Linked DNA regions of Callithrix jacchus. The protein of the gene in region 2 purifies or fractionates together with the protein of the main gene of each other region. This does not show direct contact. Links are inferred from orthologs where the notes say so. Each region holds a gene or a part of one and is shown on either strand. Other genes may lie near its edges.

The links. The genes of interacting proteins can lie anywhere in the genome.
Region 1: the proteins of ISG15 (region 2) and ENO1 purify together in Homo sapiens (affinity purification with mass spectrometry; 4 studies listed by BioGRID, with this or other methods). This does not show direct contact. The link is inferred for Callithrix jacchus from reciprocal best matches to the Homo sapiens genes ISG15 and ENO1.

What each region holds. Positions count from the first base shown.
Region 1 is NC_133508.1:46,738,343-46,741,912, reverse strand, and holds part of ENO1 (alpha-enolase), read left to right. Parts: intron 1-660; 5' UTR 661-669; coding exon 670-754; intron 755-3,442; coding exon 3,443-3,538; intron 3,539-3,570. UniProt on the Homo sapiens protein: Glycolytic enzyme the catalyzes the conversion of 2-phosphoglycerate to phosphoenolpyruvate. In addition to glycolysis, involved in various processes such as growth control, hypoxia tolerance and allergic responses.
Region 2 is NC_133508.1:39,229,021-39,231,743, reverse strand, and holds ISG15 (ubiquitin-like protein ISG15), read right to left. Parts: upstream 1,561-2,723; 5' UTR 1,499-1,560; coding exon 1,496-1,498; intron 1,115-1,495; coding exon 599-1,114; 3' UTR 557-598; downstream 1-556.

The sequences.
Region 1 (3,570 bases), about 7.5 Mb from region 2:
AAATTTAATCTGAAGAATTATGGCCAAATTTGTAATTCACTATTTTAATTCTGCTACAAACCAGATTTTCCCCAGGTCCCCCACACCCCTTTTTGGCCTCGTCCTAGTGGTTTTGCTTGTGACCTTCATGTCTGTTCTTGGTTCCTTTCCATTTCCGTGCCAGCCCTCATTGTTTGCTCATGACAGTAGCCAGTTTTGCATCTAGCAACACATTCATCTTTCCAGTTGGATTTGATTTCTCCCTGGGCACACAAATTGTTGGGCTTTTTCTCTTTTTTTGCTTACAGAACAAGACCACAGATGCTGGGGTTTAAACCATTTATGCCGGAGGTTCCAAATATTTTTTGTGAAAAATCAGACCTTGGCAATGACTTGGGCAGTAGGATAAAAATAACTCCCGCAAGCTTAGTGTTCCAATAATGGAACACTAGGAATAAATAGCTTAAGGCCTTCCAGAGCTGGGCCTAACTACTTATTTAGGAGAATTCCCACTGCTTTTCAGCAGGCTTCCCCCCACACCCTAACCAGCTTTCCAACATCCAATATTTAGTCCAATGCCGGTTCTTTCTAGTCCAGGAACCTCGGAGTGATTCCTTGACTGAGGAAGCAAATGCAGCATTACGGCTTGTGGAAAATATGACCTGTGTATCTCCCCCACAGAAATCCACCATGTCTATTCTCAAGATCCATGCCAGGGAGATCTTTGACTCTCGTGGGAATCCCACCGTCGAGGTTGATCTCTTCACCGCAAAAGGTATGTGCCACCCTGGTTTCCGCAGTTCCTTCCACCACGCTTCATTTTTAAAATTTTCTACAAATGCTGGAGCCTTGGGCAAAAAAAAAAAAAAAAAAAATCGATCAAAGCTTTTCTTTCTGTCTGCATGTGCTAGTAGGTTGTGATTCCTGACTAGCGGTGTTGGGGGATTTTTCGGCATGTAGCCAGTATCTTGGTGCCCCTTGGCTTAAAACCACATAAGTTGGTTGGCTCCTAAGTCAGTGAGGTAAGGAGGTAAGTAAGGTGATACCATTGAGACCTTGTCCCTAGAAGGACCCATCACTAGTTGTTGGCTGACAGCTTGCAGTGACCAAATATGGAGATAACAGCATGATAGGATGATTTCTCTTGATAGGGAAAGAGATCAGGGGAGGACCAGCAGGCATAAACTTAGCACCCTTATCTCTGTGTCTAGAAATCACTCTTCAGCAAGGATCAAGGACAGTTTTTACCTGTGGGCTTGGGAATAATCCAGAGGCTCTCATTTTTACCTGGCCATCAATCCCCATTGGAGGAGTTTTCTTAAGAAAAAAACAACAGAATGGGGAAACTCCTTCCTTTTACTTTAAGAAGAAAATCCAGTGCCTCTGTAGCCGTGCGTTACCTCTAGCACATGGCACAGTGGACAGGGTGGGTGAGGTTGGCAAAGGAGCTTCAGGCAGAATCATTCAGGGGTGCTAAACACAGAGAACTGCCAGTCAGAGCTGAGTCACCCGCTGTGAGTCGCCCTAGCAGTGGAACCCCAGCCCTTCCCTTCCCCTCCCCCTCAAGAAGGAAGGATCCTTGAGGCTCAACTTAACAGGGCAAAAGACTGCCTGTGTTCTGCCTCTGACTGCTTGCAGTGTGGGCTCCCAGGCACAGAGGGGTTTCTCCAGAATCCTGAGGGCTCTCACAGGATGCCAAGAATTTGCTTCATCCAATGAGATTGGTTTACTTAGTCAATGAGTGGAACTTTCTGCTTGAAAATTACTGAACTTCAAGCAACAAAAGACCCCAGATGTCAGGGGATTGTTCGGAGGCGGACATTATGTCTTAATCCTTTTTAAAAAATGAAATGATAACTTGTTCAGAACATTTCATCTTCATCTCTCTTCCTGTCTCATGGCCTTTTTTAGAGCAGTTTTAGGTTTTAGCTTCACCGCAAAAGCAGGCGGAAGGTGCAGAGGCCCGTGCACCCCCATGAACCCACGTGCACCCACTGCCTCTGCGCATGCGCAGCCTCCCCCATTGTCAACATCCCCACCAGAGTGGTGACTATGCATACACATTATCACCAAAAGTCTGCAGAAACCAACAAGTCTCTCGTTTTCAACTTGTCTTTGTCCGATCCAGTGCTGGGTGGATATGTAGGGAGCCCCAGGTCAGGTTCTAAGAAGAAAGTCCGTCCTAACATGCTGCAGTGCGATGGGGAACACCGGTGGGTCCTTTGCTGAAAATACCTGGTTGTTTTGGTTGGTTGGTTGGTTTGTTTTTTTTTTTTTGTCATTTGCCTTCACACTCCACACATCTCAAATGGAGAAATTTCTTCTACCTTCAAGTAGATTCAAGGGGCTGCCTACACTTTCCGCTCCCCTAAACCTGTCTGCCCCACCTATCTGCAACACCTTCCTTGACACCATCTGTTCTTTTACCTCCTCCAAAAATTGCTTTTGTTATGCTTAATGGCATAGGTTTCACCAGATGGCTGGTTTCCGAATCTGCAGGATTACTTGGTTCGATTCTTGTATTTATTAGACCGCACATTTTCTTTCTTTCTTCCTTCCCCTCGCATCCATACTCTTTGCTGGCTCCCAGTTGAGCATAGAACCCCCAAAATAGCATTTAGCATTGTCCAAACTGAAAGAAATCAGCTAGATATTCCTCCTGAGCCAATAAATTCCCTAATTTCATGCTTAACATCCATATAGTATCTGGTGGGGTGCAGTAGCTCAGGTCTGTAATCCCAGTACTTTGAGAGGCTGAGGTGGGTGCATCACGAGGTCAGGAGTTCAAGACCAGCCTGGCCAACGTGGTGAACATTTGTATTTCTACTAAAAATACAAAAATTAGTCTGGTGCAGTAGCGGGTGACTATAATCCCAGCTCCTGGGGAGGCTGATGCAGTAGAATTGCTTGAACCCGGTAGGTAGAGGTTGCAGTGAGCCGAGGTTGCAGTGAGCCGAGATCACGTCATGCGCTCCTCCAGCCTGGGGATATAGTGAGACTGTTTCAAAACAAGCAAACAAAAACATACATAGATAGATACACACACACACACACAGAGTACCAGAACATCTTCAATGCCCTGTATGGCTCGCACTGTATTTCTGTCAGGCAGTGCTGCTGGGATAATCCACAGGGCACTAACACAAGCTTGTGAGCGATACATACTCGGACTTCCAGGGTCAGAATCTGCATTTTAACAAGACCCCGGGTGGCATGCAGGCTCTACTGGAGAGCGGTTTCCTTCTGCTAGGGGAATTAGTCATCTTTGTAGTGAGGTTTGCAGTACAGGATTATAAGCACATGAAAAGCACTAAGAACAGGCCAGAGCATTTAAATCCCCCAGCTGGTAGGAGGAAGAAACAGTTCTCTAATGACAGATGCATCTGTGGGCGGGAGGGAGCTGGGGCTTGTGCTGTAACTGGATTTCTTAATTGCTACTGTTGTCTTTTTCCCCCTCATCCAGGTCTCTTCAGAGCTGCTGTGCCTAGTGGTGCTTCAACTGGTATCTATGAGGCCCTAGAGCTCCGGGACAATGATAAGACTCGCTATATGGGGAAGGGTAAGCCTTAAAACCCACAGCCCGTGGTCTCC
Region 2 (2,723 bases):
CAGGCAGGTGGAGCAGGCTGTGCATGCTGCCTAGGGATAACTAAGGCCCCCAGCCCCAGTTCCTGTGCAGAGCCTGCCTCACGGCCCACTGGGTAGGCCCCGAGGAATCACCCCTCACTGCTTCCATGAGCCTCCCTGGTAGCCTTTTGATCTGAGCAGGCTGGTCCCTGTGCAAGCCGTCTGCTGTCCCAGATGCTGGAGGGCCAGGTGGGTTCCATCAAATGCACCTCTTTTTCTTTCTCTAGAAGATAATTTCCCAAAGGGTGGGAAGACCTGTCTTACTTCAGTTTTGGGGGGGTCCCTATTTTGATCCCTCGAGGCTGTAACTGCAGGCCCTTCACTTGGCAACGCAGGCCTGGCCACCAGGATATACCCTGTGTTCTCCCTCCTGACTCCTCCCCTAGCCCCATCAGCAGGGTCAGATCAGAGGTGGCCCCTGGAGTGGCAGGTGCAGACACAGAGGCAGTTCTCCCTCCTGACTCCTCCCCTAGCTCCATCAGCAGGGTCAGATCAGAGATGGCCCCTGGAGGGGCAGGCGCAGACACAGAGGCATCCATTTCCCCTTGCAGCAACCTTTATTTCCAGCACTTGATCCTGCTCAGATGCTGGCAGGAGGCCCTCTGCTCAGCCTGCCAGGCTCTGCGCTGCCTCCCCGCAGGCGAAGATTCATGTACACGGTGCACAGGGGCTTGAGGTCATACTCTCCCAGCGGGAGCTGGTCCTCCATGGGCTTCCCCTCGAAGGTCAGCCAGAACAGGTCTTCCTGCACGCCCTCCTGCTGGCTCACTTGCCGCTTCAGCTGCGCCACGGTCTGTGTCAGTGCCACCTCATAGGTGCTGCTGCGGCCCTTGTCATTCCTCACCAGGATGCTCAGAGGTTCATGACAGCTGTCCACCACCAGCAGGATGGTGCTGCCGGGGCCCAGGCCCTGGCTGGCAAGGGGGACCCTGTCCTGCAGTGCCATGCCACTCGGGTAGATGGCCAGACGCTGCTGGAAGGCGTGCACACCGATCTTCTGGGTGATCTTTGCCTTCAGCTCTGACACCAACATGGAGTTGCTCAGGGGCACCTGGAACTCGTGGCCCCCCAGCATCTTCACTGTCAGGTCCCGGCCCTGCAGGAATCACACAGGCTCAGAGACTCTGCACCAGCCCCAGGCCCACCACACATGAGGCTCTGGCTGCACAAGCGCCTGTGCCCAGGGATACTGCTCCATCCACATGTTGTCAGCAGGGACCGCAGGCACAGAAGGCACTGAGGGGTCACTGCTAGAAGGTCAGCTGCCCACAGCCACCTTGTGGCCTCCCCTTACCTGCTAGGACGCCCCTCTGTGCCCCACCCCGACACTCTCCGGGGTGACCCGCTTTCAGGAGAACGTTCAGGTCACCTGGCTGACCACTCAGCACCCTGCACCCCCAGGAGACCCTGGCTGGGGAAGAGAGAGGAAAATGGACTGAACGCAGCCCCCCGCCCCCACCTGTGGCATCTGCCTTACCATGGCTGTGGGCTGTGGCACAAGCTCCCATACAGCAAAGATGAATGCGCTGCCTCTGGGCTGCCAGCTCCCGAGCCACCACCGGCCCTTTTATAAGCCTGAGCCGCACATGTCAGGGGGCGTGCCAGGGGAGCCTGAGCCTAGTGGCCAGATTCAGCTTCGGTTTCAGTTTCCTTTTCCCGAGGCAAGCCCGGGAGTGAGTAGAAGAAACAAAACAGAATGACGAAAACAGAGGGAAAAGCAGAAGCAGAGTAGGCAGGGTCTCAAGGGCACGGTCAGGGACAGGGACTCAGGACAGCGGACAGCGTCCCCACCCCTGCCCAACGCCCTGGAAACACCTGAGTATCCAGCATTCTGGGTCCTTCACGAGATGTAGTAACTCATCGTCGCATGAACGAATGATGGGCAGTTTTCATTTTCCATTTACCAGTTTGCAAGATTAGTAAACTTGGAAGTGAAACAGTGACCGTCCAAACTACCCAGAGATAACCTCACTTGGTTTAGGGAAATGTTTGCTCAGATTGGTGTTTTTTGTTGTTGTTTTTGTTTTTTTGAGACAGGGTCTCACTCTGTCCCCCAGGCTGAAGTGCAGTGGCACGATCTCAGTGCACTGCAGCCTCCACCTCCTGGGCCAAAGCGATCCTTTCACTTCAGCCTCTTAAGTAGCTGGGACCACAGGTGCACCAGCTAATTTTTTGTATTTTTAGTAGAGATGGAATCTCTCCATGTTGCCCAAGTTGGTCTTGAACTTCTGGACTCAAGTGATCCACCTGCCTCGGCCCCAAAAGTGCAGGGATGACAGGCCTGAGCCGCCACGCTCAGGCCTCATATTGTTTTTTAATAGAAGAGACATATCTTTTATTAAAAAAAAAAAAATGAATTCTGGGGCCCTACTGAGAAAGTGAAAAACAATCCACAGAATGGGAAGAAATATTTTCAAATTATTTCTCTGATGAGGGGCAGCATCCAGGGCGTACAAAGAACTCTTACAACTCAATTTTAAAAAGGCGAGTCAATTTTAAAATGGGCAAAAGACTTCAATAGACATTTCTCCAGTGACACAGAAACAGCTGCGTACCTCGGGAAGGCGGCCGTATCATTATTCATGGGGAAATGCAAATCAAAACCCCAATGAGAAGCTGATTTCGATTAGCATGACTGTAATAATGAAAATGAAGGCTCACTGAACATGTCCTCCAACATTTCAGGAGGCTGAGGAAGACATATC